Linked DNA regions of Lonchura striata. The protein of the gene in region 1 interacts with the protein of each later gene in a pairwise test. Links are inferred from orthologs where the notes say so. Each region holds a gene or a part of one and is shown in the gene's direction. Other genes may lie near its edges.

What was found.
Region 2: the proteins of heterogeneous nuclear ribonucleoprotein C (region 1) and SUMO1 interact in binary tests that used the Homo sapiens proteins (3 or more experiments, as listed by UniProt). The two-hybrid records come from large-scale screens. The link is inferred for Lonchura striata from reciprocal best matches to the Homo sapiens genes HNRNPC and SUMO1.
Region 3: the proteins of heterogeneous nuclear ribonucleoprotein C (region 1) and RBM41 interact in binary tests that used the Homo sapiens proteins (3 or more experiments, as listed by UniProt). The two-hybrid records come from large-scale screens. The link is inferred for Lonchura striata from reciprocal best matches to the Homo sapiens genes HNRNPC and RBM41.
Region 4: the proteins of heterogeneous nuclear ribonucleoprotein C (region 1) and KPNA4 interact in binary tests that used the Homo sapiens proteins (3 or more experiments, as listed by UniProt). The two-hybrid records come from large-scale screens. The link is inferred for Lonchura striata from reciprocal best matches to the Homo sapiens genes HNRNPC and KPNA4.

The regions. Positions count from the first base shown.
Region 1 is NC_134641.1:1,164,143-1,171,705, reverse strand, and holds the start of heterogeneous nuclear ribonucleoprotein C, read left to right. Parts: upstream 1-4,556; 5' UTR 4,557-4,631; intron 4,632-7,563. Other genes in the region: SUPT16H (FACT complex subunit SPT16), read left to right, coding at 998-1,075, 2,278-2,387. UniProt on the Homo sapiens protein: Binds pre-mRNA and nucleates the assembly of 40S hnRNP particles. Interacts with poly-U tracts in the 3'-UTR or 5'-UTR of mRNA and modulates the stability and the level of translation of bound mRNA molecules. Single HNRNPC tetramers bind 230-240 nucleotides.
Region 2 is NC_134610.1:26,736,483-26,743,846, forward strand, and holds the start of SUMO1 (small ubiquitin-related modifier 1), read left to right. Parts: upstream 1-4,363; 5' UTR 4,364-4,472; coding exon 4,473-4,484; intron 4,485-7,364. Other genes in the region: NOP58 (nucleolar protein 58), read right to left, coding at 491-535. UniProt on the Homo sapiens protein: Ubiquitin-like protein that can be covalently attached to proteins as a monomer or a lysine-linked polymer.
Region 3 is NC_134616.1:18,475,908-18,483,726, reverse strand, and holds the start of RBM41 (RNA-binding protein 41), read left to right. Parts: upstream 1-4,814; 5' UTR 4,815-5,605; coding exon 5,606-5,790; intron 5,791-5,890; coding exon 5,891-6,083; intron 6,084-7,819. Other genes in the region: nuclear pore glycoprotein p62-like, read left to right, coding at 341-390, 509-643, 1,030-1,141, 1,662-1,728, 2,866-2,957. UniProt on the Homo sapiens protein: May bind RNA.
Region 4 is NC_134612.1:25,421,986-25,429,005, forward strand, and holds the start of KPNA4 (importin subunit alpha-3), read left to right. Parts: upstream 1-4,014; 5' UTR 4,015-4,102; coding exon 4,103-4,171; intron 4,172-7,020. UniProt on the Homo sapiens protein: Functions in nuclear protein import as an adapter protein for nuclear receptor KPNB1. Binds specifically and directly to substrates containing either a simple or bipartite NLS motif.

The DNA.
Region 1 (7,563 bases):
TCACCTGGGCGCACCTGGGCACACCTGGGCACACCTGGACACACCTGGGGGGAAAAACGGGGAAAAAACGGGGAAATTCAGGTTAGAAATGGGGAAATTTGGGTTAAAAATGGGGAAATTTGGGTTGAAAGTGGGGATTTTTTGGGGGGTTTGGGCTCACCTGAGCACACCTGGCGGGGGAAAAAAAATGTTTTCCCCAATTTTCCCGATTTCCTGCGTTTTTCCCTCATTTTTCCCCTTTTTTCCCGAATGTCCCTTTTTCTTGCCCCTTTTTTTCCCAATTTCTCCATTTTTTGCCTCATTTTTCCCCTTTATTCCCGAATTTCCCTTTTTTTGCCCCTTTTTTTCCCAGATTTCTCCATTTTTTGCCCCATTTTTCCCCTTTTTTCCCGATTTTCCTGGGCGTTTTTCCCAATTTTCTCATTTTTTACCCCTTTTTTTCCCAGTTTTCCCTATTTCTCCATTTTTTGCCCCTTTTTTCCCCAATTTTCCTGGTTTTTTTCCCCCCAATTTTCCCGTTTTTTGCCCCTTTTTTCTCGATTTCCCTGTTTTTGCCCATTTTTCCCCTTTTTCCCCAATTTTCCCATTTTTGTCCCATTTCCCCCCTTTTTTCTCGATTTTCCTGTTGTTTGCCCCTTTTTTCCCAATTTCCCCATCTTCCCCCTTTTTTCCCTATTTTCCTGGGGTTTTTTTCCCAATTTTCATGTTTTTTTCCCCAATTTCCCCATTTTTTACCCCATTTTTCCCCTTTTTTCCTGGGTTTTTTTCCCAATTTTCCTGTTTTTTTACCCAATTTCCCCATTTTTTACCCCATTTTTCCCCTTTTTTTCCCGACTTTCCTGTGTTTTTTTCCCAATTTTCCCCTTTTTCTCCTGTTTTTCCCAATTTCCCCATTTTTTACCCCATTTTTCCCCTTTTTTCCTGGGGTTTTTTTCCCAATTTTCTCGTTTTTTCCCGTTTTTCCCGATTTCTCCGTTTTTCGCCCCGATTTGCCCAGAGTACTCCAAGGACTCCCTGGGCAGCGAGGAGGAGAGCGGCAAGGACTGGGACGAGCTGGAGGAGGAGGCGCGGAAAGGTGCGGCCCCAAAACCCCCGGAATTCACCCCAAAACCCAAAATCCCCAAATTCAACCCCAAAACCCCCGGAATTCACCCCAAAAACCCCTTAAATCACCCCAAAACCCCCGGAATTCACCCCAAAACCCAAAATCCCCGAATTCAACCCCGAAACCCCCAGAATTCACCCCAAAAACCCCTTAAATCACCCCAAAACCCAAAATCCCCGAATTCAACCCCGAAACCCCCAGAATTCACCCCAAAAACCCCTTAAATCACCCCAAAATCCAAAATCCCCGGAATTCATCCCAAAATCCAAAATCCCCAAATTCACCCCAAAACCCCCGGAATTCACCCCAAAAACCCCTTAAATCACCCCAAAACCCCCGGAATTCACCCCAAAATCCCAAATCCCCTCAACCCCTTTTTCCCAAAATCCCTGTTTTCTCCCCCAATTCCCCTTTGACCAAAATCCCCGTTTTTCACCCCAAACCCCCATTTCCCCCCAATCCCCCTTTTTCCCAAAACCGCCATTTTTCACCCCCAATTCCGCATTTACCCAAAATCCCCATTTTCCCCCCCAAACCCCCTTTACCCCCCAAAATCCCCTTTTGCCCAAAATCCCCATTTTTCACCCCAAACCCCCATTTTCCCCCCCAACCCCCTTTTTCCCAAAACGCCCATTTTCCACCCTAATTCCCCATTTTCCCCAATCCCCCTTTTTCCCAAAATCCCCATTTTTCACCCCAATTCCCCATTTACCCAAAATCCCCATTTTTCACCCCCAATTCCCCCTTTACCCAAAATCCCCATTTTCCCCCCCAATCCCCCTTTTTCCCCAAATCGCCGTTTTGCCCAAAATCGCCGTTTTTCACCCCAATCCCCACTTCCCCCCCAAACCCCCTTTTTCCCAAAACCCCCATTTTTCACCCCCAATTCCCCATTTACCCAAAATCCCCATTTTCCCCCCCAATCCCCCTTTACCCCCAATCCCCCTTTTTCCCCAAATCCCCGTTTTGCCCAAAATCCCCATTTTTCACCCCAAACCCCTATTTCCCCCCCAATCCCCCTTTTTCTCAAAACCCCCATTTTTCACCCCCAATTCCCCATTTACCCAAAATCCCCATTTCCCCCCCCAATCCCCCTTTCCCCCCCAACCCCCCTTTTTCCCAAATCCCCGTTTTGCCCAAAATCGCCGTTTTTCGCCCCAAACGGCGCCCAGCCGACCGCGAGAGCCAATACGAGGAGGAGGAGGAGCGGGGGCGGGGCCGGAAGCGCAAGGGCCCCCCCGGCCGGGGCCGGCCCCACCCCCCCAAGAAGAAGCGGAAGTGACGGGACCCAAAATCGCCGCTTTTCACCCCAAAACCGCCCGGGCCTTTTCGCCCCCGTCCCGCCCCTTTTTTCCCCGTTTTTCCCCGTTTTTTTTCACCTTTTTTCCCCTTTTTGTTGTTTTTTTTCCCATTTTCCCCCCCCCTCTGGAATTTTGGGGCGATTCCCGCGGATTTTGGGGCCCCGCCCGTTTTTGGGGGTTTTTTTTGGAATTTTTTTTAGTTTTGTTGTTTGGGTGAAAATTCGGGGATTTTGTTTTTTTTTTTTTTTCTCCCCGCGGGGTTTTTGGGGAGATTCCCCGAGATTTTCCCACCGGAAATCGGTGCCGAAAACCCCCGGATTTCCCCGATTTTCCCAAAATCCGTGTTTTTTCCCCCGGTTTCTGTATTTATGGGGGTCCCCCCATTTTGGGGGGATTTTCCCCCTTTTTGGGGTTTTTCCCCCCCGGGTTCGGGCCCCCTCCCCCCCCCGCGGCTCTTTTCCAAAAATTCAATAAAAATTTCGTTTTTTTAAGGTTTTCTAACCAAAACGGGAATTCCTGCGCGCCAGGGCGGAAACGGGGCGAAAACGGGGGAAATTGGGAAAAATGGGGCGAAAACGGGGGAAATGGGGAAAAATGGGGCAAAAACGGGGGAAATTGGGAAAAATGGTGGAAAAATTGAGAAAAATGGGGGGAATTGGAAAAAAAATTGGGGAAAAATGGGGGAAATTGGGGAAAAATGGAAAAAAAATTGGGAAAATGGGGCAAAAGGGGGAAAAATGGGGCAAAAATGGGGGAAATTGGGAAAAATGGTGGGGAAAATGAGAAAAATGGGGGGAAATGAGAAAAAAAAAGGGGAAAATTGGGCAAAAATGGGAATTGGGAAAAAATGGGGAGTAAATTGGGAAAAATGGGGAAAAAAGTGGGAAAAGGAGAAAAAGGGGGAAATTGGGAAAAATGGGGGAATTGGAAAAAATGTAAAATATCGCGGGGAATTGGGCAAAATGGAGGGAATTGAGGAGAAATGGGAAGAAATTGGGAAAATGGGAGAAAAAGGGGAAAAATGGGGCAAAACCGGGGGGAATTGGGAAAATGGGGAAAATAAGAAAAAAACTGGGGAAAATTGGGGGGAAATTGAGAAAAATTGGAAAAAATCGAGGGGAATTTGGCAAAATGGGGGGAATTGGGAAAAACGGGGAAAAAATGCGAAAAATGGGGAGAAAAGGGGGGAAAATGGGGCAAAATGGGGGAAATTGGGAAAAAATGGTGGGAAAATGGTGGGAAAGTGGGAGAATTGGGAAAAATAGGGGAAAATTGGGAAAACTGGGGGGAAATTGGGGGAAATGAGGGAGGAAATTCGGAAAGGAATTGGGGAAAATTGGAAAAATGGGGGAAAAGGGGGAAAGTGGGGGGGGAAATGGGGGAATTGGGCAAAATTGGGAAAAAATAGGGGGAAATTGGGAAAAATTGGGGAAATTGGGGAAAACTGGGAAAAAAATGGAGGGGAAATGTGAAAAATGGGGGAAATTGAGAAAATCTGGGGAAAATTGGGCAGAAGTGGGAAAGAATGGGGGGAAGATGGAAAAAATGAGGACAAAATTGGAAAACTTGAGAAAAATGGGGAGAAAGGTGTCGGGATTGGGAAAAACCAGTTTAAAATGGGCCCAGACCGGTTTAAATGACCCCAAACCGGTTAAAATCACCCCAAACTAGTTTTAATTTCCCTAAACCAGTTTAAATCACCCCAAACCAGTTTAAAAGGCCCCAAAACCAGCGCGAACTGGGCCGCGCCCCCTCCGCCTGACTGACAGCGCCGCTGTCCAATCACCAACCTCCCACGTCTCGCTTCGCCCAATCAGAGCCCGCACCGAGCCCTTCGCCCCGCCCTCCCGCTGATCCAACGGCGGCCGGCTGCGCATGCGCCCACCTCCCCGCGCGCCTCGGGGGGCGGGCCCTCCGCTGTGCGCCGGACTCCGATTGGTATAGCGGAATAACTGGCAGCGCGCTCGGCCAATCAGCGCGATCGAAACCACCCCCCGAGCCCCCCGCCGTCTCTCCTCCCCCTTCCCGCGCAGCGCCGCTCCGCGCGCTGCCATTGGCTCGGCGCTGGATTGACAGCCGTCTCAGCCAATCGCCGCGCGGCAACGGGCGGCGTGGGCGGGCCCGGCGGCGCTGGCGGCGCTGAGGGCGGCGCGGGCGCCATTTTGCGCTCGGCCCCCGGAGGAAGCGGCGGCGGCGGCGGCGGCAGCGCAGCGGTGCCCGGAGCGGTGAGGGGGCAGCGGGGGCGGCTCCGGGAGGGTCCCGGGGGGCTGCGGGAGGCTCCGCGGGCGGGAGGACCCGCCCGGGGGCGCGGGGGAGGTTTGGGGGGTGCAAATGGCGGCGGCGCGTGAGGGAGCGAGGCGGGAAATGGGGGGGGGGGGGGGGCTCAGGGCCGGGGGGGCGGGGCCTGGGGGCGGGGCCGCGCCCTCCTGAACTAATTGCTCAGCGTAATTAACTAATGACTCGGCTGGGGGGGTAATTAACCCCTTCAGGGCCGGGATTGACCCCGCCGGGGGCGGGGTTTGGCTCCCCAGTTAATTAACGAGCGCGCTCCGGGTTTAATTAACCCCTGCGGGGGCGGGGTTGGCTCCCCGAGGTAATTAATTAATTAATTAGGGCGCTCCGTGTTTAATTAAGCCCTGCGGGGGCGGGGTTCGGCTCCCCGAGGTAATTAATAAATTAATCAGCCCCTGCGGGGGCGGGGCTGACCCCGCGGGGGTGGGGGCGTGGCTTAGCCCTGATTAACACCCTCGGCTTAATTAATTAATTAATTAATTAACCCCTTGCGCGCCAGGCTGGGCCTAATTCACTCCCCTTGGAGGCCTTCGTTTGCATAATTAACCCAGGGGGCGTGGCTAATCGTTAAGGGGCTAATTAATGCTAATTAAGGGTTAATAAAGCAGCGAGGGGCGGGGCTACATTTGGGGGCGGGGCCAATTCCGAGGTGGGCGTGGCCAAGCCTGGCTTTGGGAGCTTTCATTAAACCCCCCAGAAGTTTTAATTAAACCCCCCCAAATCCTTTAATTAAACCCCCCCAGAAGCTTTAATTAATCCCCTCCAAGGTTTAATTAACGGCGGGGGGCAGGAATTCCCAGATTTCCCTTTTCCCCCCAATTTTGGGAGCTCAGGTTCCGTTTTTCCCTTTTCCCCCCAATTTCAGGAGCTCAGGTTCCATTTTTCCCTTTTCCCCCCAATTTCGGGAGCTCAGGTTCCGTTTTTCCCTTTTCCCCCCAATTTCGGGAGCTCAGGTTCCGTTTTTCCCTTTTCCCCCCAATTTCAGGAGCTCAGGTTCCGTTTTTCCCTTTTCCCCCCAATTTCGGGAGCTCAGGTTCCGTTTTTCCCTTTCCACCCCAATTTTGGGAGCTCAGGTTCCGTTTTTCCCTTTTCCCCCCAATTTTGGGAGCTCAGGTTCCGTTTTTCCCTTTTCCCCCCAATTTCAGGAGCTCAGGTTCCATTTTTCCCTTTTCCCCCCAATTTCGGGAGCTCAGGTTCCGTTTTTCCCTTTTCCCCCCAATTTTGGGAGCTCAGGTTCCGTTTTTCCCTTTTCCCCCCAATTTTGGGAGCTCAGGTTCCGTTTTTCCCTTTTCCCCCCAATTTTGGGAGCTCAGGTTCCGTTTTTCCCTTTTCCCCCCAATTTTGGGACCTTTTCAGGTTCAGTTTTTGCCTCTTCCCCACCTGCGAAGTCCCGGGCGGTGTTTGGGGATTTTTCAGGGTTTTTGGTGATTTTTAGTGGTTTTTGGAAATTTCTGGGGTGGTTCCAGGTGGGTTTTGGGTGGTTCCAGATGGTTTTTGGGTTTATTTTTGAGTTTCTGATCATTTCCAGGATTTTTGGGGGTTTTTAGGGGTTTTTGGTTGGTTTCAGGTGGTTTTTAGGGGTTTTTGATCAGTTCCTGGTGGTTTTGGGGGTTTTTAGGGGTTTCTGATCATTTCCAGGTGGCTTTTGGGGTTTTTAGGGGGTTTTGATCAGTTCCTGGTGGTTTTGGAGGTTTTTAGGAGTTTTTGATCAGTTCCAGGTACATTTTGGAGGTTTTTGATCAGGTCCAGGAGTGTTTTTGGGGCTAAATCCCAAATTCCCGCGTTCTCTCCTGGCTCCAGGAGCTCCCATCTCATTTCCTCCATTTTCTCCCCCAAAATCTCGATTTTCAGGGGATTTCCCCCAGATTTTGGGGCCAGCCCCCAAATTCCCCCATTCCCCCTCAAATTTCCCTCCCCCTTCCCCCCTCCTGCCTTAATTAAAGCTCCAAAGTCCCAAATTTCCCCTTTTGGCCCCAAATCTGGGGCTTTGGGAGGGCGGAGGGGAATTCGGGGAGTTAAACCCGAATTTTGCCAAAAACCCCAAAATTCGGGGGCAAAATCCCCAAATTTGGGGGAAAACCTACAAATTCAGGGAGAAACCCCCCAAATTTGGGGACAAAACCCCTACATTTTCTGTTTCTGCCTAAATTCAGGGGCAAAATCCCCAAATTTGGGGGAAAACCCACAAATTCAGGGAGAAACAAACCAAATTTGGGGACAAATCCCCCAAATTTGGGGACAAAACCCCTACATTTTCTGTTTCTGCCTAAATTCAGGGGCAAAATCCCGAAATTTGGGGTCAAACCCCTCAAGTTCCCCATTTTCCCCAAATTCAGGGGAAAACTCTCCGAATTCTCCATTTCTCCCCAAATTCAGGGACAAATTTCCCACTTTTGGGGACAAATCCCCCAAATTCAGGAACAAACCCCCCAAATTCTCAGTTTCTCCCCAAATTCAGGGACAAACCCCTAAAATTGGGGAGAAACCCTTCGGATTCAGAGTTTCTCTCTTAAATTCAGGGAAAAACCCCCAAATTCTCCATTTCTCCCCAAATTCGGGGACAAACCCCCCAAAATCTCCATTTCTCTCCAAATTTGGGGACAAACCCCCAAAATTCAGGGACAAACCCCCCAAATTCTCCATTTCTCCCCAAATTCGGGGACAAACCCCCCAAATTCTCCATTTCTCCCCAAATTCGGGGAAAAACCCCCCAAATTCTCCATTTCTCCCCAAATTCAGGGACAAACCCCCCAAATTCTCCATTTCTCCCCAAATCTGGGGACAAACCCCTCAAAATTTCCATTTCTCTCCAAATTTGGGAATAAACCCTCAAAATTCGGGGACAAACCCCCCAAATTCTCCATT
Region 2 (7,364 bases), on another chromosome or scaffold:
GGTGTGTGCTCGTCCCTCTGGGAGAGCGAGGTCGGGACACGAGAAGCCGGCAGGCCCAGCGCAGGGCCCCGCACGGCCGGGAGACGGCACCGCCCGCCACGCGGAACAGAAAGCGCACAGAGAGCATCACTTCCTACCAAATCCCGCCCGGCACAGGGGAGGAAGGGAGCGCCAGAGATGCCTCTTGGCAGGCACCGAGTAACTCCCCTTCTGCCCGCCGAGCAGCTTGCCCCTGCCCCGGGGCCTCTGCTCCCACCCTCGGCCCTGCTCGCCCCGCGAGGGGCCGCACGGGATGCGGGAGCCCTCACTCCCTCCCTCACTCCCTCCCTCACCCCCACTCCCTCCCTCTCCCTCACCCTCACCCCCCACCGTGTTTCCCCGTTATTCCCTCCGCAGGCCCGACGCGCTCCCCTTCGCCCTCCCTTCTGCTCCGCCGCAGGTCGGCGGCCGCGACCCTCCGTGCGAGCGGCAGCGCGGCCCCGCGGCTCACCTTGAAGATGGCGTAGCCGGCGGCGGTCTCGAACAGCACCAGCATGGCTGCGGCGGGCGCCGCGTGCGCCGCCGCCACCGACCGCGCTCAAGCACGCGCGCGCCGCGCGGCGGAACCGGAACGGGAAGCGGCGGCGGCAGCGGAAGCGAGAGCGCGCGGGGAGCGGAAGCGGCGGGTCGCCTTCCGCCCGCCAGCCACGTGGCGGGGCCGCCCCCGCCGCGGGTTCGAGTCTCCTGACGCACAAACACGCGGGAGCTGGGGCGCCGCCGGTGTGCCCTTCTGGCACCTCACCCGAGCTGTCCTCGCTTCCCCGGGTGCCGCAGTTGGCGGCAGGGTCGGCCACCGTTGATAGGAAGCGGGTGTGTTCCCCGGGACGCGAGGGGCCGTGCTAGAGACTTTGTTTCCCGAACGGACCCCGAAGCAGGGGTCAGCGGGTGGTCCTCTCGGCGACCCCGAGCCGCACCGGCCGCGGTGTCGGGGTTCAGCGGCGCTCCCGGCCCTCTGCACGTGGCGGGTTGCGTTCTCTGCCCACTCCGCTCTCGCTCCCGTGGCCTGACCTGCAGCTCATCGCACCGAAAGCATTTCCTTTGCGTAAAGAATTGTTGACACAGTGCGATTGCGAGTATTTAAAAGCTTGGCTTCGCCAACAGACAAGCACCAAATTGCTCGTATAAAACGCGTTTCGAACGCTGCGTGTTTCCCCGCGCTGCTCGGCTCTCCCCGGGGCACGGGCAGCTCCGTCTGCGGGAAGGCACGGCCCGGGGCGCTGGGGCGGCCACTTGAGCCTCCTCCTACTCTGGTGCCACCTCGTGCTTTGTCCTTGGCACAGCCCGGGCGTGCACAGCGCGGCGCCTGGCTGACCTTCTGTGCCGCGGCCCTGCTGGGGAGCCGAGCAGCTGCGTGCCGGTGGGAGGCGGGCGGAAAGCGCCGCTCCTTGCCCTTAGAAATCCCCGCTTATTTCATACGCAGGGTTAGCTGTACTGAAAACAGGCAGAGATTTTCCTGCCCGCAGGTAGAGAGGCTCCAAGAAACGCTTTTGATTTATATCAGACAGTCATTGCTGCGTTTTATGCAACCATCTGTATGAGTCAGCATGCCTTTGTTTCCAGGAGTACGCTGGAAAGTCCACAGTGAGAGAAATCTGTGGACTTTAATATTTCTGAAGATTTTTTTATTCAAAGGAAAGACTTTGGTACTTTACATCACATAACCAATTTTCTTAAAATCCCACAACCAGTAATATTGCCAAAGAAATTAGGTTCAAGGAGGTAGAGAATTTCCAGGTTCTACCTAGTTTTAAAGTACTATTTCTGGCCCTGCTGGCAGAGTACTCTTATTATGTAAGAGCTACTGTTAACTTAGCTGGTTGCCCTAGAATACTACATTCATCCTGTTGGCTAGCACTAACTGCTATCAGGCAAGCAAATTGGTATTATGAGATTACAAATTGTTTATAGGTTAAAGTCTCCTTTTTAAAGAAATCTGTTTCTGATGGACTGAAGCTTTGCACAGACTCTATGTATGTGTGGGCCAATAGCTTTGAGAAAACCTCTTGCAGCTATTGGCTCCTATACAGTAGCTTTGGAGAAATCAGTCAACAGAGGTGAACTTTATTGGCATCAGGTGACTGAGGTTAAGTGCAGGTAGGAAAATAAGAGACATTATAAAACACCTGAGAATTCAGTGAGGTTGTTAGGGCAAGTACTATGGGCAGTGCGTGCAAATGCAAGGCTGGCTTTGGGTTTTGTGGGAAGAAGCTTGTGTAAGTATATTTGGTATTTTTTAAACAGCTTTTGTTACTTTCTCTTTAAGTGAATTCTATGTTGAATTTGAGCCATTGAAAAAGAAAAGTGAGAGCTTTACTGCTGTGCATCCACAGTTTTCACAGTCTTAGTGGAGATTAACTTTGAAGATCCTGTATAAAACTAGCTTGTGTCTTGGAGAGCTGGTGCATCCACAATTGATGGAATAAGAAGGGTGGTGAAAGGTGGTGCTACTGTTAGTGTGTGTGCTGATAAGCACATTCTAACCCTGTATCTTTATGGCTATGCATGTGGATAGATAACTGCACTCTAACTCATATGAGTGTTAGCTTTTATTATGGGATTACTTGAAAAAATTGGGTTTGTGCCAGAGTCTGAGACTTTGGCCTTAGCACAGTAAGGCTCTGTTTTTAAAAACCCATTTAAAATTTATAAAAAGCAGTAATGTTCAGGATAGAATATTTGTCATTTTCCATTTTGCTAGTATTGTGCGTTGTTGTGGAGCCCTTGCATGGCTTATTTTGGTGCTTTGTGTGTATTATTAAGCTCATAATGAGCTCTTACTGTGAGCTTGGCATAGCATGAACATATTTGGCTTTTCTGCTTGGCCTTGTCTAAGAAAGATCATCTTCATTCTCTAGCTCTGTATAGCATTTGTTTTGGTTCTCTTTATTTATTTTTCCCTCCCTTGTTAATTCTGACTTGTTTTAACAGTTGTGATTAGAACTAATTCCCATGAGTCTAGATACTGATTGTTCTGCTGGCTGGCAAAAGTGCACCTCTTGGTGTAGCTCTGTTTGTAGCTTGGCATTCACTGATAAGCAGAAATGCAGGCACAGAGATCAGCTGCTTTGGTGTTTGGTGTTATTACAAGGGAATATGGCACACAGAGCATTGGCCTGTTTATGTTAATGAATGCCTCTTGCTCAGAGCTAATGAATGTACTCTGCACTTTCCCAAAGGTAGATGGTAAAGTTGAAACTCTGTTTAGTAGCATAAGGGTAATAATCTCATTTTTTCAATTGAGCTAGTTTCTGTTGATTCATTAATTTTACATTCATGCTATTTCATGGTTCTCATGTGTGGAGTTTTTTTTCTACTTGCTGGTGGTCACTTAGATCTAAGCATATGCCAGTAGTGATGCCATGCAGGAGTTGCCTGAGCAGTTGTAGAGGGGATGTTAGGACTCCATGCTATAGTCCAAACAGCTTGCAGCCTAAATGTAATCTTTTAGGTAGATGTTATTTCTTGTGCAGACTTCTGAATAGCGATGCTGTGCCAATGTAAAGCAGGGCACCTGTTCTAATGATACATCTTTGCAAATTTATTCAAATGCAAGCCTGGCTGCAGATTTGCTTAATACATGCAGATCCCATTGCTTGCATGGTTGCAAAAAAAACACTGTCTCTAAACAAAAGTGAGTTTTGCTATGGCATATTGTCTTAATAACAACCTCAGCAAGATATTAGAGGTAGGCAGTATGAAAGTGATTTTTGCTCCAAGATCTACTATTGTGGGAAGGGTTATGTGACTTCACATAATTGTCAGGATTGGAAGGGATCTCTGGAGAGCATCGAGTCCAAGCCCTGCCACGCAGGGTCACCTGCAGCAGGTGACACGGGAACATGACCAGGAGGGGTTTGAATATCTCCAGAGAGGCAGACTCCATGACTTCCCTGGGCAGCCTGTTCCAGTGCTCTGCCACCCTCAACCTGAGAAAGCGCTTTCTCAAGGTGAGGTGGAACTCATTATCTTTTAGTTTATGGCCATTACTGTTCGTTCTGTCATTGAGCACCACTGAGAAGCGTCTGGGACCATCCCCTTGGCACCCGCCTTGGAGGTATTTCTGTGCATTCGTGAGATCCCCTCACAATCTCCTCCAGACTGAACAGGCCCAGCTTCCGCAGTCTCTCCTCATGAAGAGAGATGCTCCAGGCCCGTCACCGTAGCTGTGGCAACCCTGGCTCCGGTCGCCAGGGCTGCCCTTAACGTTGGTCGCTTCTTTCGACGGCGACTCTCGCCTCCCCCGCGGCCTCGGCGGGAGCCGGTGCCGCGCGAGGGCCGGGCGGGGCCGCAGGCGGGGCCCGGGAGGGAAATGAGCTCAGGCGCACCGGAAATCCCGCCCGTGCCGCGGCCCTGTGTTTGCGCTGCGGGCAGAGAAAGGAGCGGAGCGCTTGCAGCGGCCCAGCCGAGCCTGCCGCACGACACGGGGCCGAATCATGTCTGACCAGGTACGGGCAGCTGTCCCGGCCGCGGGGGAACGGCGCGGCGGCCCCGGGGGCTCGGGAGGAGCTGCCGCCCCCCGCCCGCACTCTCCGCCGCCGCGGGGCAGCCCTGCCCGGGGCGGGCAGAGTCGCGGTCGCCCGGAGGGCGCCGGGGGGAACGTTCTCCGAGAGGAGTGTGTGTGTGTGTATGGATGGATGCCGATCTCCGACCTCGGCCGATTCGGGCCCCTCTCCGCGTGCATTTTAATCCTTTTCTCTTCTTTCCTCGGGGTGTTTCGCGAGGAGCGCGGTCGGGCTCCAGGCAGGGATACACGGGGGCCGGGGCGGTGTCCGGACGAAGCGAATCGCCGCCGGGACAGCCCCGGCCCTGGAAACCCGGGAATGCGGCGAGGGATAAGCTGTGTTGCACAACTGTTGTTTCCTTTCGTTTTTCGTTTCCCGGGTGTGTGGTAGGATGGTTTTCCCCCGGAGCGGGCTTTGTGAGGGTTAGGCTAGGCTTGCCAGGTACTCCGTTCGCCCGAGGAATGTGAAAGCCTGTTTTTCTCCCCCTCGTTTCTCAGCTGAGCGTTGCTTGCTTGTATTAAACACCCCGTCCTTTATGAAGGCTCTGTCCTGCCTTCGCTCCAAATAATATTCTCGTTATGCCCACATCATTTCTGTTTTCTGAGCCGGGGAGTTGAATAGTTGCTTGTACCGCAAGTTCCTGGGTTGCTCGGCCTGGCATGTATACAGTGCTTTGCCTACAACTATTGCTTTAGGCTATATGTCCTGCTAGTGGAAAGTTAAAACGGCGTTCCGGTTTCAATTTGTGTTCCGTTTTGCTTTATTTTTTTTATATTGTCGTCATAGGGCACTGTTTTCTATCTTTGATTTTTCCCAAAGTGTAGCTATCGTGATAATGTCAGTACCTACATGTGTTTCTTGTAGTGCTGTGAAGTCAAGAATAGTACTGGTGCCAGCCAGGAAATTAAAAGTCCCCAGAGACAAGGCTCAGCTTAGTGCATACCGTGTCTGCTTTGGGGAGTAGCCTTGGTGCAGTAGGAGCCGTGAAAAGAAGCCAGCGCTGTGTGCGCTGGTGGTCTTCCTCCCCGCCCCCGACTTCCCAGCACAATGCGGCTGACAATGGTGCTGCTGCCTCTCTGTGCCTGTGCCTGGGAGAGGGGCAGCTGGGAGCACAGCGATTGCTGCCTCCTAGGACACATCGCCCCTGTAGCAAAATACGTGAAAGTGACTGCATTTAAAAAAAAAAACAAACAAACTCACCAACAATTTCTGAACTAGATTTTATAGACAGATGTTCACGTGACCTGCTCTCTAGTTGTCTGCATATCGGAACCAAGGTATGTTTTAGCAAATAGCAGCTTTCATTACTTAGGCAAATCCTTCCCCAGGCAAGTTCTGCTAAAATACATGCGTATTTTGTCTTTGAGATTGCTTGAAGTATGTAAAATTCCATGTATGTGATAACCTGTTGTGGCTATGTATCTTAAAGGTCTGTGAATAAGGAGCCTGCTGTTTATTTTTAATAGATAAGCAAAACACTGTTAGACGTTGTGTCATTCATTTCTGGAGCACTGTGCAACAAGAGCTAAACAGATGCTTAAGTAGAAGAATAATGTAAGGTTATGCAGCACTGTAAATCTCATTCCTCTGTTTATCAATCTTACAAGAATAACTTGATTACCTAAAATTGTGAATTGCTTAGAGTATTGTTCTTTTTGGCCCTGGAATTAAGTTAAGAGGGGTGTCATTTATCACCCATAAAAGAAGGGTTACTTTATTTTCAGTGGGAAATTGACTTTTATGGTAAATAAAAATACTTGAAAGAAGGGCAGACTTAAAAAAAACCTCATGGTTGCTTGGTGGGATCTAAGCAAAAATGAAACAAAACACAAATTGTTTCCCCCTCCCTTCAAGTGTGTTAGGCTGTTTTTGCATTATTTTAATCTAAATGTTATCTATTAATGTAATCTGTTAATAAAGAATGCTGTAGTTTGTGTGTATGTTTTTCACTCCCTTAAAAAATGTAAGCATTTATTTGCTTTGTTATGAAGCGTGTTCTACATCTATTCCTCTTTTGGTTTTGACAATTTTCCTTTAAAATGCTGAGTATAGTTTGTTTTTTTAAGGTTAGACATTGAAGTTTTATCCCTTCTGAAAATTGGAGGAGGAAACTTGCAATATATTGCAAGTTTGTTTTGTGTATGTTTAGTTTTTGTTAGTTGCAATAGCAGTACCAGTGTGTTTCATCCAAGAAACTTCGTGTGCTTTTTAGGGTCCGTATATAAGTGTGAGACAGTGCACAGAGTCTTACATTGTGCTCTTTAGGAAAACTGCAATGAAGCCTTTAAAACCTTAGGCATCTAATGAAAAGTTAGAAATTGGAGTGCTGTGGTATTTCTGTTCTTTTGTATGGTGGTGTTTTTTATGTCCTGTTTCATGAGGTACTTTAAAGCACCATTCTTTTCACAGGGCAAGAAGTCTGGAGGCTTCCTTGCTAGTTGCTGATCCAGGATTTTGTTAATGGATGCTAGTAGTTGTAACAACTTTGGAATCTCCTTAGTTTCTTTATTTCTAAGTAATTTTGTGTTGCCTTAACCATCTGGCGTTGAATGGCAGTATAGTTCACTGACAAAATGCAGAGAGCATTTTCAGACTTGCTGGGTCTTGTATCCTGGTGTAAAGTATTTTGCTCCTAAATTAAGCTTTGATTATTGGCACTTCTATTATTTGATTTTATATTATTTTTCTTCTCCTGAAACTACAGCTTTTTTTCCTCTTTATTTTGTGAATGAGAGGTTGTGGGGCTTTAAACAAGCATCTTTATGATTTGAAGACTCCAATTCCCTCTGCTTATTCTACTCTTGGGCACTTTCCCTATTTGTT
Region 3 (7,819 bases), on another chromosome or scaffold:
GCTACAGGTGCAGCAAGCCATTCAGTGGGACTTGCTGCTTGTGAAATAGATGTGAGCTCCAGCTGGGTGCTTTTCACAGCCTCTCTGTGTGTCACTTCTGGCCCTTAGGCCTTGGAGTTGGAGATCTGTTCTGTGCCTTTGCTCTGTGATACCGAGTTCTCTTAGGGGGGATCATTCCAAGCTGAACCTCCCTTATTCCATCTTGGCTCTGTAAATCTTTATGTGGCCATCCCTTGTTTGCAGTAGAACTTGCATGCTGTGCTCTCTCCCTCACACCTCCCTTCTTTGGAGAGCTGCCTTCTTGGTTTTTAAGGTGCCATGGAATGTCTTCTGTTTGCAGATTACTTCTTTACACAGAGAAGTGGAGAAGGTGAAGGTTGACCAGAAGAGGTAGGAGACCTGGAGCACTTGAAATGATTTTATTTCTTCTCTGCATGGGCCTGCCTGGCTGTGTGACAGCTCTGCAGAGTCTGCAGCGTGAACGGGAAGCATTTGGCTCTCTTTGCAGACTGGATCAGGAACTGGACTTCATTCTGTCCCAGCAGAAGGAGCTGGAGGACTTGCTGTCCCCTCTGGAGGAGTCTGTGAAGGAGCAGAGCGGGACCATCTACCTGCAGCACGCAGATGAGGAACGGGAGAGGACGTGAGGCACAAACCTGTGGGGATGGGGGCCGAGCACTGGCCTGTGCCCACAGCCCTCAGCAGGAGTGGAGCTGGGATGGGTGTCAGGATTAACAATCAGTGCCTACCGTCAGATATTTATTCCTGGTTTATGCACGGCAACTTTAGATTTTACTCAGAGTCCTCCACTCTCTTGCTGGTCTGTCTCCATGTGTAGCTCAAGGGAGACAGAGCTTGGGAGTCCCCTCATGTGGGTGCTGGAGCCTCCCTGGGTGCAGCTCCCAGTCTCTGCCAGCCTGGGCTGCAGCTGTGGCAGCTGATGCTGATGGCCCACAGCTGGTGTGACTGTGAGCAGGCCCTCCAAGTTGGCTTTGACCATTCTGATCTTGGTTCCTGTGTGCTCTGCAGCTACAAACTGGCTGAAAACATCGATGCTCAGCTGAAGCGCATGGCACAAGATCTGAAGGACATTATTGATCACTTGAATACATCAGGAGGCCCAGCAGACTCGAGTGACCCGGTAAATGCAAGCTTTTATTTTATGTTGCTGAAGAGGCAAATGATATTGAAATAATTCTAACTCTTAATTTGTCCCCATGTGGATATTCCACTTATACTTTTTCTTCATACTATTTTTATATCCTCATAAAACAAGATCTGTATAACCAGCTCCTGATATCTTTTAAATTGATTTTGATGCTCCTTAGGGCTTTGCCCAGAAGCTTTTTTCTGCAAAAATTTCCTTTTAGTATTTTAGACTGAGTTTACCCACATTCATTTTGAATTTTGCCACCTTAAGCCTAAGGTTATGAATATTCTGCTGGTTCCTAGGTCTTAAATTAAGATAAGCCAAAGTCACAGACATGTTATCTAAACTGTTCAGTTTTCTTGCTGCTATGGAATAGCCAAGTAGCAGTGTTGCTGCACACACTTCCCTGGCTTAAGTGGCTGCTCTCTTGGGAAAGGCATAACTTTGCCTTTGACTCCTCCTGGTGTTTATGCCGTCTCGCAACTAACTTGCACCTTCTCTCTCTGCTCAGCTTCAGCAGATCTGTAAAATTCTGAATGCACACATGGATTCCCTGCAGTGGATTGACCAGAATTCAGGTGAGATTTGTCCTGCAGCCTTTTGGCAGTGTGAGTGGGAAGCAGGAGCTGTGTGTGAGTGTTCATCCCTGAATTCCTGAGGATGCCTGAGGAATCTTCCTCCTCAGCCTTCAGTGGCATTGTCCCTTCTGACATCTGCTTGAATTCTGCTGCTGTGCCTGATGAGAGGCCTCTGCTGGGAAGTTACTCCTGACAACTGGTATTTTTACCCAGAAAGCCCTCCTTGAATTGCGTCAGTACAAAGCAGAGAACTTGAAAACCTTATTCATTCTGTCAAACTAATGTTAAATAGTTCAGCTTCTAAAGATTGTGTGGTTTCTCTGTGGTGCAGGAAAATTGGTGAGGGAAATGTGTGTGTGTTGAGTGTTACTATCCCTCCCAGTCTGAAAACAGGAAGTCACATCCAGATAAGATGGAGCAGCCTGCCTTGATCTGCAGGTGGGGTAACTGCAGGAATAGTATGGGAATTTCACAACCTCCAAAGCTTGAGTTCCATTGCACACAGAGATGCACTCAGGAATAGGCACTTGACAGTGGAGTCATACTAAAACAAGACAGAAAAAAGGAAGTTTTCCCTCTGGAAGAGTGCCTCCTGGTGAGGGATTCTGGAATTTTGTGCCGTTTGGATTTTAACTGGTAGCAGCCACACGGGGGCACGGCAGAATAAAGCAGCTCTCCTCTCAGAGCCCCAGAGCCTAGTTACAGTGCTGTGAAATGCTCACACCTGGGGTAACAACTTGCGTGAAAGCAGACCTGCTCTTCTTCATGTTGGCTTAGGTCAGGGTCTAATTCGGTGTTTTCTTTCAGAACACTCCTGCTAAGCTTCCCATTCTAAACATGCCTTTTTCAGCAAATCTGGTACAGCTCCTGTGCAACCTGAATTTACATAATGTGTGTAAAAATAGCTATCTGTTTGCTTTAAACTTTCCTAGAAAGGAGACAAATTTTTTCTTTTGCCATTAAATAACGAAAACATTGTCTTATTGGTAGTACTTTGGGTTGTGTTTTCCTCCTGCTTTATCCACTGACAAATCTGAGTGACTGTCAGCAAGGAATTATTTTTCTTTCTGCAGGCAAAACTGTGCAGGGTTGTGTTCTGGGGTGACTGTGACATTTAATCCCTTGTTTCTGCCACAGCTGTGCTACAGAGGAAGGTGGAAGAGGTGACCAAGGTTTGTGAGAGTCGCCGCAAGGAGCAGGAGCGCAGCTTTCGGATCACCTTTGATTGAGACATTCCCAAGTTCAAAGGATGAACATAAAACCTCCACAGAAAACAGAGGTGTTTGGGAGCTGAGGACTGAAACAATGACCTGGTTTTATTTCTTTTTTTACAATAAAATGTGCTGTTTGTTCAAAGCCAGTCTTTGTGGTGTTGGACTGGATTTCACGTGCTCCTATCAGAAACTGGATGAAGTCTGCAGGAAGTGTGTACTCCTTGTGCTTTAGCTGTGCCTGCAGACTGGTGAGGTAACAGAAATGCTGTCTTGGAGGACTCCTGCGTGCTTTTGCAGGAGGAGGCTGCAGAGGTGGCTTATGTGAGAAGCTCCAGAAGCTTCCACCATGTCCAGCAGGGCCAGTCCCTGGTGGCTCCAAATGATGGACAGAGTTGCTGGCCAGGGCTGGGCCAGTTAGATATGGTGGTAATGACTCTGTGAAACAGCTTTTTAAGAAGAAATAAATACAAATTTGATGCTCAGTTGTAATTGCAGCCAGAGAAGAGAGGGGTGAAAATCTGTGAGGGGAACAGCTCTGCAGACACCAAGGTTAGTGAAGGAGGGAGGGAAAAAGGTGTTCCAGGTGCTGGGGCTGAGATTGCTCTGCAGCCTGTGGTGAGGACCATGGTGAAGCAGCTGTGCTCCTGCAGCCCATGGAGGAGCCCCATGCCAGAGCAGGGGCATGCCTGACAGGAGGCTGAGCCTGTGGCTGAGGTGCCCTGCTCCCAGGCTGGAGCAGCCTGTCCTGGAAGGACTCTGTGGCAGAGTGCCCCACACTGCAGCAGTCTGAGGGGGCTGTTGCCCATGGGATGGACTTCTCACATCAGAGAAGTTCAGAGAACTGTCTCCCATGGGGAGGACCCCACAGTGCAGCAGGGGAAATACTGCTGTCCCTGAGCACCAGGAAAACCAGGGGTGACAAACTGACCATAACCCCCATTCCCATCTCTCTATGAACTGATAATAAGCCCCATTCCTGTGTCTCTATGAACTGCTCATGACCCCCGTTCCCATCTCCCTATGAACTGACCATAACCCTGATTCCTGTCTCCCTTTGAACTGACCATAACCCCAATTCCTGTCTCCCTTTGAACTGACCATAACCCCAATTCCTGTCTCCCTTTGAACTGACCATAACCCCCGTTCCTGTGTCTCTATGAACTGACCATAACCCCCATCTCCGTATGAACTGACCATAGCCCCATTCCCGTCTCCCTGCGCTGCTGGGGTACGAGGGACGGGTAGGCGAAGGTGTTTCTAAGGGCTGATTTTACTTCCCATTACCCCGCTGTGCTTCAGTTATCAAAAAACTCCGTTCCCATCTCCGCCTTAAGCCCTTTGCCCGTGACGACACTCGACGCGAGATCCCTTCCGGTCCGTGTCTCAAGCCGCGAATTCTGCGCTAAGTGTCGTGCGTTCGGCCGCGGAGGGGAGCGGCTGTCCCCGGGGCGCCGGGCACACCGTGCGGCTCTGCCGGGCGGGGCAGCGCTGCGGGCAGCGCTCGGCTCGGCTCGGCTCGGCTCGGCTCGGCTCGGCTCGGCTCGGCTCCTCCCGGGGCGGCTCCCGGCGGGCGCTGCCGGGGCCCGGCGTGCGGAGCGGCGGGGCCATGCGCCGGTGAGCGGGGCAGGAGCGGGGCGGCCCGGCCCCGCTGCGGCGGTGCGGGAGCGCCTGCGGTGGAGGATCTGGGGTCTGGCTGCTCCGCGCAGCACGGACCCCGGAAAGGGAAAAGCGCTGCTGGAATTCACCGTTTCTCCTCGGCGTCGCGGTTTCACTTTCCTCCCTGTCTCATTTGGAGCTGGCAGTGTCTGCTGTGGAAAATGCGTGTTTTATGATTGGCTTTTCGCAAATTAATGTTATATGTATAATGTTAGAAAGTTATGGTGTATTAATTCTCTTAAGGACTCTGTTAAATATAGTTTTAGGTTACAACATAATGTTGAAATAGAAATCTGTGATGTAGGATTTTTTTACTAGCTCAAGCAAGACATGAGGTAATCAAAAAGCTCTTCACACAGAGGTGACAGTGACTTGGGGCCCATGAAGAGCTACTGCCTCCTTATCAGAAAAGACAGTCTTCCACCTTCTCTCCATCTTTATGGAACCACCGGGATTAAGGGGAAGAAGTTGACAAAAAACAGAAAAGTTCTTAATTTGCAAGGAATTTATGCATCATGTAGGATATATATGAATATGCAACAGGCTATTGCATTTAAGGTTATTCCTTTGTTCACAAAGTATGCTTTTTGTGACTTAAGTGTCCAAGAGCATCCATAATTCTTTGCTTTATATTGTTTTGTTATGGTCCTAACTCTAAACTTTATTTCTCTAATTGTGTTACTATTTTTATAACCATTTTATTATTATTAAACACTTAAAATTTTAAAAACCAAATAATGGGTGTTTTTCACACTGGCTAGATGCTGATGCAAGACGATTTCGGTCAATAAAAATTATGGCGTGTGATTTTAAAGTAAACAAACAACCCCCACACCAATATAAAAACACCCAGAGGCTCCTTGGGGTACTTTTATGTTCTCCAAGGAATCCCAAATTTGTTGACTTTTCTAGTAATGTTAAAGGGAGCTGTGGTCAAGTAGTTTTGGTTTCTTGTTTTTTTAAAATCCCATAAAACCAGCGCAAGAGGTGGAGGAGCTGTAGCAAGGATGTGTTTTGAGCAGTGTTTCCTCTATTGCCTGACTGCCCATGCCTGTGCTGTGGTTGTGTGCCCCAGGGTGAACAGCAGCCTGTCCAGTGATGAGCTTCTCCTGGAAGACTTGGAGACAGAAGGAGAGAGGCAGCTGAAGAGCCTCCTTCACCAGCAGCTTGACACCACTGTCTCCATCGAGCAGTAAGTGTGGTCTGGCCCAGGTGTGGTCTGAGCAGCCCCTTGCTGTCCCCAGTTCCTCAGTGCTGAGCTGTCTGTGCTGGCGTGTTCCTTTGGCTCACAGGTGCAAGTCAAAACGGAGATGCTTTGCTCCTGCAGCTTTTTACAAACCTTTCGGAGAAGAGGCTGCGGGGGCTTTGACCCTGCCACAGTTCCAGGCCCTGCAGGAGAGTGACAGAGAAACCTCGTCTCTCCGGGAGCTGGGGCTCTCCGACTCGGAGATCCTGCTCTGGAAGAACCGGGACTCGGCAAGGAAGGTGGGCATGCTCTGCTCTCACCTGAGCGTGGTCAGGTTCCTCTAACCCCGTGGCTCTCTGGTAGAAAATTCCAGTCCTTTGTAAGCCTTTGGTAAAGAATGGCCTCTCCTTGTATCCCTTGCCTTTAGCCCAGCACTATCCTACATTTCTTCTGGCCTCTTTTCTTTGGTGGAATGGTCAATGTTAAAAGATATGGTGGAGACAGGAGTGGGTCCTTTGGAACACAGCAGGATGTGAGGGTATTCCTGCCTTTGCCTTGATCTCAAATAAATCATTTCACCTCTTTATACCTGTGTATGAAGGATTTAAAGGCCAGAAGAGAAGGAGAAAATATTTCAAAGCATCTCAAATCCTCCTTTGAGTATCCTGATAAATCCCTGGATCCCATTGCTGATTTGGGATGGCTGTTTGTAGGGGGTGTTCTCCTTAGGGGCTTGCATGTCCTTCAGGGGCTCTGGGACAGCCACATGAAAATAGTGCAGAGCTGTCAGACCACTGTGTGGTCTGTGCCACCACCACTGTGTGGTGGCAGTGCCTTGGTGCCTCCTTGGATGCTCTTCCAGCAGGTTTCTCCCCTTCCCCCACTTTCACCCTTTTTTTTCACATTCCAGAGTCAAGAGGCTTTTGTGGTTGTCTGTATCAGGTGCATTGGAGTGTCCTGCTCTTAATCTGCCAAACTAGAAAATGCAAAACAGGAGTTGGGCTGATCCTTGGCTTCCTTTTGTCTCCTGTTCCTGAGTGATAGCTGTGTGCAGGAGAGTTGTCTGTGGAGAGTTGTCTGTGGTCATCAGTGCTTTGCCTCTTTTCAGCTGAAATCATTCCTTGCTTTGGTATTTAAATGGAAATCCAACCGTGGTGTGGCCTGATTAAAGCTTGGTGCAGAGAGGAGTGGTGTTAATTTAAGAATGAAAATCAATGTCGTCAGTACTAGCTGTTATATTTAGTATGAAATGTATTCTGGGATGTTCAGGAATAATTACTTGTATGGAAAACACTACTCTGACAGAAAATAAGGCTGACATCAGGGTATGTCTTCTACAGAAGAAGACATATTTATAACAGAAGAGAAGAATATAAGAGAAAAATATTTAGGGAGAAAGCCTAAGTCAGTCAAAGCCTATGCAGCTTTGGAGGTGGAGGCCCTGAGTGAAAGATTCCATCATGAGTGATGAATAATGTCAGCTGAAACAGAGAGAACTTCAGATTGCCTGGGGAGCTCTTGGCAAAGTACTGAGTGCGGATTTCTGTTATTTTCAGCTGCTAAGTGGCAGCTTTTTTGAAAACAAAGTACAACAAATGATTTCCGGGAATTGCTTTTCCGTATAAACAGCCTTTTGTGCCTCAGGGAAGCTGTGAAATGGTGAATGGAAGAAGCTGTGCAGATGTGGGGCAGAGGTACCATGGGAAACTCTGTTAGGCTGTGCTCAGTGCAGGGAGAAAGCCTTGTTTCTTGCCTGAGGCAGAAGGATCTGCCACAGGAATTCTCAAACTCAATTTGAGAACAGAAAATCCACCCACAGCCCCATCAAAGTGTGTTCTGTGTCCTGATGGAGGTGGATGGGGGAGCAGAAGTGCCCTTTCAGCAGCTGGGCTGTGTCTGTGTGCTTTGGCAGCATGAAGTGTTGGTGCAGGGAGGTTTGTGTACCCAGGGATGCTCCTTGCTCACAGCTGAGCTGCGGGGGCTGTGCTGCAGCTCCTCTGTGGTTTCTGGAAGCTGGCTCAGTGATGCTGGTTGG
Region 4 (7,020 bases), on another chromosome or scaffold:
ATGTTCCTCCACAAGGGAGCAAACACTGCTGCACTTTGCTGCTTTTATTATATATAGAGATTAGTAAAAATATGTAAAAATATGTAAAATATATTACATTTTTAAACTTATATTAGTATTTACTAATATTCATTAGTTAAAAATATGTTAAAAATATAAAATTTATTTACTAACACCCCGTTTCTTTTCTGTGTAACTCCATATAATAATATCCAAAACAAGCTTTGCTCTTGCTAAGTTATGAAGGAAGACAGCAGAGCTGTCCAGGTGTCTGTGGGTCAAATCTTTGATTATTCCTCTCATCCAAAGCACGTCAGCCAACTCCCATCAAAAACCTCCTTCCAACCTGTCTCTTGCAAAAGTCAGCACAGCAGCTGAAAGATTATTATAAAATATCCTCCCAGCAGCGGGCTGCTTCTTTGTTAATAGCAGCTATTCCATTTGGCTAAACCCCAGGATTAATGGGTGTTTTTCTGTGTGCAACACAAATCTTTGCAGCTTTACATGACATTTTGTTTCTTACAGGAGGGAGATAGGGCTATGAAAAGCCATTTGCAGGAGCTCCTTTCACCTAAGTGTACAGTTAATAAATAAATTTTATCTATTTTATATATGTTTTTACTAATATATTAGGAACAGCATTCAGATCAATTCACATTATTCCTCAAAAGAGGTGTTTAAGATAAGCTGAGAATTAAACATTTTCTAATTGCATAATGAGGTTCAAAATTCACAAACTGTGAATTGTAAAGAAAATGTGAACCCTTTGTAAAACAAATCTATCTGTTGCTTGAAGGATAGGAAGGTGAGCAGATCCTAATTCCCACCTTGATATTTGCATTATTATTTTCCAAGCTAAAAAATATGCAAAAAATATTAAAGAAGCAGAGCTTTGTTCTGTAGCATCACATGAAGTTCTGAACAGCACCATACCATGAGAATTTGTGTTTTATGCATAATTTATTATGTTGTAGGCAGCTACAGTAAAAAAAAAACTGTAAAAAAAAAACCTGATTTAGTAAAAAAAACTGATTTAGAATCAAAATATCCAATTGTTTGGGGTTTTTTTAAAAGACAGCCCAGTGACACTGGATCAAGGGTTTGAAATTGGTCTTCTGAGTGTTTTTGTACTGTGATCCTGAGGTAAAATCAAACAGAAATTATTCCTCTGAAAGCCAAGCAGTTTAATTAGATTACAGTTACACAAAATGCACTTGATTAATCTCTGATGTCTACAATGAAATCACAATATAAATTATTCCTTGGATGATATCAGATCAAAAGACCACCAGAGGATTGTCTTCCTTCATAACTTAGCAAGAGCAAAGTTTGTTTTGGCTATCATTATATGGAGTTACACAGAAAGGAAATGGGGTGTTAGTAAATAAATTTTATATTTTTACATATTTTAACTAATAAATATTAGTAAATACTAATATAAGTTTAAAAATGTAATATATTTTACATATTTTTACTAATCTATATATATAATAAAAGCAGCAAAGTACAGCAAGATGATTTTTGGGCTGGATTTGGAGGAAGATTCTCCAGGACTAGAATTTAATAGGAAAATTGTATGCTTTTTTAAAGGAAAATTTAAGCCAGGATGTGCTGCCTTTCCCATTCCATCCTTCCCACACCAGGGGTGGGATGGGCACGTCTGGGGTAACAAAAACATGGAAAAGGTGGTGATGGAAAGGGCACCGATGGAATAAAAGGGTTTTGTTCATAAAATTCCAGGCTGTGTCTTACACAGGGGGGATTTTTTTACCATCATATTCGGACAAGTTCTGAGCACTGGGCAGGAATGGAACACATAGTTCACACCAGAGTCCAGTTTCATTATTCATCATAGAATTTCTGCCTAATATCTAATCTAAACCTATGCCCTCTCAGTTCAAAGCCATTCCCTGTGTCCTGTCCCCCATCCCTTCTCCAAAGTCCTTCTCCAGCTCTCCTGGATCCTCTTTAAGCTCTGGAAGGGGCTCTAAATTCTCCCTAGAGCCTTCTCGTCTCTGGGCTGAACAATCCGAGCTCTCTCTTCTTTCTGTAAATGAAACAGAGCACTAAATAAAGATACTATTTTTTAAAATTTTATCTCTATGTATTCTTTTACAACATTACCACGTGGCAAATCCGCATTACATTTTAAAAAGTAAATAGCTGTATCAAGAAAATGTCATTTTTGTCCATCCAGACTGGGATGTGAAAGGGTTGCTGTCCTACACCACTCTTGGAGAAAATGTTTTATATCCTCTGAGACAAGCCATGCCTCCATGGAATAGCACCAGCATTAATTAGCCCCGACTAATTTACCCTCCTCATATTGCTGTGACATCGCTGCCACATTTGTGCAACAGACGGGGCTGCGGTGACTCAGCCTCTGTGACTTTTGGGGTTTTTTTGGAGAAATATCTAGATCCAAGCCTCGTCCTCTGGGAAATGTCCAGGGATAAAACACACATAGTCTGAAAAACCATTGTTTTCCTCAGGAGCTAAATCAAATTATCTTTCCTGATACTCCTCAGTCTCCGAGGGACTCGGTGACTTCATTTTCACACTTGGGAAAAACATCCCCTGTCATAACTTTGATTTTTCTCAACAAGTGTCATGGAAAATTATAATGAGCTCTGTCAACATGGAAGACTTTACAGGGCTCATTTTCAATCATTAAAAATAAGTAGAGACTATATGCAGGGTCAGGGCAGTACATATATATATATATACATACATATATTATATATATATATATATATATATATACACACACACATACTCCACAGAATTCTTCTAGTTATGGTACACAGGCATTATTTTCCAGGTAGAATTTCAGAAGTAGGAACAAAATTACCATCCCCTCTGCTCCGCAAGTGTTTCTCTCTATTGTTTTTAATACTGTTTCTCTTTTTTCTTTTTTTTTTTTTTTTTTTTTTTTTTGCTAAAATTCTGGAAGACTGGGAGGAAGGGGGATTACTCTAGGCAAACGAAAGTGTAAAGAGAGTGAAGATTGAGGTGTAATTTTTGTCTTCATGATGCAAATAAATGCAAAGTGTAATGAGGGGAAGGATTAAACTTGATTTTTTGACTCCATGATGGGGGCAGACACAAATTTTAGCGAGGGGAAGGATTAAACTCGATTTTTGACTCCATGATGGGGGCAAATGCAAACTTTAGCGAGGGGAAGGATTAAACTTGATTTCTTGACTCCATGATGGGGGCAGACGCAAATTTTAGCGAGGGGAAGGATTAAACTCGAATTTTGACTCCATGATGGGGGCAGACGCAAATTTTAGCGAGGGGAAGGATTAAACTCGATTTTTGATTCCATGATGGGGGCAGACGCAAATTTTAGTGAGGGGAAGGATTAAACTCGATTTTTGACTCCATGATGGGGGCAAATGCAAACTTTAGCGAGGGGAAGGATTAAACTATTAACTTTGGGCTCTGTGAGGGGAGTGAATGTAAAGTGTGGCGAGGAGAGCGCCAATTCTCGGCTCCATGAGGGGAGTGAACGCCAAGCCTAGCGAGCGGAATGTTTAAACAGCCGGCTCCACGAGGGGAGCGAAATGCAAGCGCCGTTGGGAAAAGGATTAAAAGATAAATTTTGGTCCGCTCCCGGCAGCAGCGCAGGCGCGGGGCGCGCCCGTCCCGCCCCAGCCCTGCCCTCAGCCCTCAGCGCCCAAGATGGCGGCGGCGCTGAGGCGGCTCCTCCTTCCTCCCCCTGCCCGCGCTGCGTCACCGCTCCCGCCCTCTCCCCGCCCGCCGCCATTGGCCGCGGGGCGCGCGCGGCGCAGCCAATGGGCGGCGGCGCCCAGAGCGAGGCTCCCCCTTCTCCCCCCCCGCTCGCCCCGTCCCTTCCCCCGCTCGGCGGCACCGGCGCGATCGGGCCGCCGGCACCGGCCCCGGCCCGGCCCGCTCCAACCGCCCGGCCCCGGGCCGCGCTCCCGCCCCGCGCCGGCCCCGCCGCCGGCCCCGCCACCCCGCCCCGCCACCCGGCCCTTCCCGGCTCGCTGAGGCCGACTGCGGGCCCGCCGGGCCCCCGGCGCGCTACGGGCCCGGGCGGAGGCGGAGGGGCCGCGCTCCTCCCTGGCCGCCCCCCGCCATGGCCGACAGCGAGAAGCTGGACAACCAGCGCCTCAAGAACTTCAAGAACAAAGGCCGCGACCTGGAGGTGAGCGCGGCGGGGCCCTGAGCCGCGGGGAGGCGGCAGCGGCGAGGGAGGGAGGGAGGGAGGGAGGGAGGAAGGAGCCGCCGAGGCCGCGCTGAGGGCCGGGCGCGGCCGGGCCCGCGGGCTCCCGGCGAGGGGCAGCGGCCGCGCCCGCCCGGGCCGGCTCCGGGCCCGCTCCGGCCCCGCTCCCGGCCCCGCTCCCGGCCCCGCTCCCGGCCGGCTCCGGGCCGGCTCCGAGCCCGCTCCGGGCCCGCTCCGAGCCCGCTCCGAGCCGGCTCCGGCCCCGCTCCCGGCCCCGCTCCCGGCCCCGCTCCCGGCCCCGCTCCCGGCCCCGCTCCCGGCCCCGCTCCGGCCCCGCTCCGAGCCGGCTCCGGCCCCGCTCCGGCCCCGCTCCGGCCCCGCTCCGAGCTGGCTCCGGCCCCGCTCCCGGCTCCGGCCCCGCTCCGGCCCCGCGGCTCCTCCCGGGCGGCTGCGCCCGCCGGGGCTCGGGGCCCGGCCCGGCCCTGCCCCAGCGGCCCCGCTCCGGGGTGGGCTCGGCGGAATCGCTGCTGGAACAATTCTTCTCCCAGCAGCTCCTAAAAGCCTGAGTCAGTATTAGGGCCCTACTCTGCTGCGTGTTTCCAGGATACCTAATTAAATAAATAACGCCGTAACTTTCATAGCAAGATTATTTTTTTAAAAAAACTCTTATTTTTTAAATTCTCTTTTTTTTTTTTTTTGTATTTCTCTTTTCTGCTCAAGCCGTTCTGCCTTGTAGCCCCTGAACGCTGAACTTTTTGGTGGTTCAATTATTCGAGCTCTGTAGGTGCTTCCTAAACACAGCAGGATAAGTAATTAACTTGGGGTTTCCTTAGGAAATAAGCAAATTTTAAAGCTAGGTATCAATCCTCGCCTTTAAACACTCGGCCAGGAGTGCTGGTTGGAGGTTAAAATTGTCTGTTCAGGGTTGTGGACAAGAATCTTGGCATTCCTCGTGGCTGTCTTTTGCTAGTTTCAAAGTGTCCCTTGTGTTTTCCATAATATTCTACTCTTATATATGAAGACATTACAATGTTTCAAAAGTGAAAACTCCTTTATATTCCCTGTATTGATTTAAACGTCAGTTTCCCAGGAGTCTGTAACACCTGGATTTTTAACCTGCCCACTTAGATTGATAGAACATTTTATTACTCAGTTATGCCCAAACTTTTGGCAAAAATATTGTGAGTGGGGATAATTAATTGCTCTGCTTGCTAACAGTGTTGTGAGGTTGGTTGGCAACCCCTCGCCTTAGATACTAATTTATTTTTATATCAATTTTGTTACCACTGAATAGGCAGCTACAGGAAGGCATCTTTAGGAATGCACACAGAATGTTCCATTACAGTGAAAAATGGGATTCATGAGTAGACACAGGCTGGAATTCAGGTGCCTTGGTGCAGAATTTCAACGGGAAAGGGCTGAAGTAGGGAAGGTTCAAGATGGACACGCAGGTAACACCACGTGGGAGTGTGTCAGAAGGCAGGCAAGCTCTTCAATCTTTTTTTTTTTTTTTTTTTTTTAATTTGCTGCAGCACTGAAACGCCTTTTTCCACAGCCCAAACCCACTGCTGGGTCGTGTTAAATTTTAGAGAGTGACATTTATCCAGCAAATCCTGGAGCACATGCCTGCTCCCTAAAATAACCACGGTGCAGGGCTATTTTTCATACAATAGCTCAGGCTTCTGGCTGTCCCTGCTGCTCATCAACTGCTTACACATCACACTGGGCATCAGGCTGAGGGAATTGCTGCTGCCCACTCCCACCCAACCTCCAAAATCCGGCTTGCAGGGCTGTTTGGGCAGAAATTTGTGTATTTATTTGGCAGAGGAAACCAACATTTGATCTTTATCTCCTTCACTCCTCCCCCTTTTTTATCTGCGCTGAAATTGGCCCTGGGTTGTTTTTACAAAACTATCGGGGTTTTTTTTAATTTTCCATTACAGTTTACCCCTAGAGAAATGAGAAATCGCCCGAATTTTGGTGAATGCCAACTGGAGAGGTTATGAAAGGTTGCCATGTTGTGAATTGCAAACTTCCTAAAAATGTTATCTCTTAATTCCATGTGCTCAGATCAGTCCATTGACAGTTACAGTTCCTGTCACACTGCCCTTGCCTTCCAGGTTTTACATATTCACTGGAAGTTCTTCTATTTCTGACCAAAACCAGGGAATTTCCTACATTTTATCCCTTAAAGTACCAAACATTTTTCACCTTTTTGGCTACTCCAGTTATTTGTTTTCTTTTCCCCAATATGCTCCTAAAAATACAAATTCTGGCCTGGAAAAAAGAGGAAAAAAAAAAAAAAAAAGCAAAGCCCAGCAGAAGCACCTGTTTTACATAAGGTGTTTGACAAAATTCCTTCAATGCTGAAGTCTTGGGTAAACATTTCCTGCACGGGCATGTTGTAAATAATTGCTGCCATGTGTTTGGGGATGACAGATTGGTGGTGACACTGGGAATTCAGGGATTCACTGGGACCAGAAATCCCCAAGAATTCCTTGTCCTCTCCCTGGTTTCTGCTCCTGCTCAAAGGAATACACGTAATAAAGTTTTTAATAGTGGGGGAGCAGTAATTTGGAGCTGAGGCAGCATCTCTGGGGGGAATTTAAGATTTCTGGTCAGTGCTTGCAACATTTTTTTAGGGTCCTCAAGATTTTAGAGCTGTGGGGGATAAATAAAATTGGTTCAGCACAAAGAGGAACCTTAAAAACTGCAGAAGTGTGGCCACAGTTTTAACCTCCAACCCCAGAGTCTGAATTGAAGAAGGGCTTATCTGGACTCATATTAAATTATGCAAATACTGATCCATTAAGGAGCAGGGTAAAGTGACT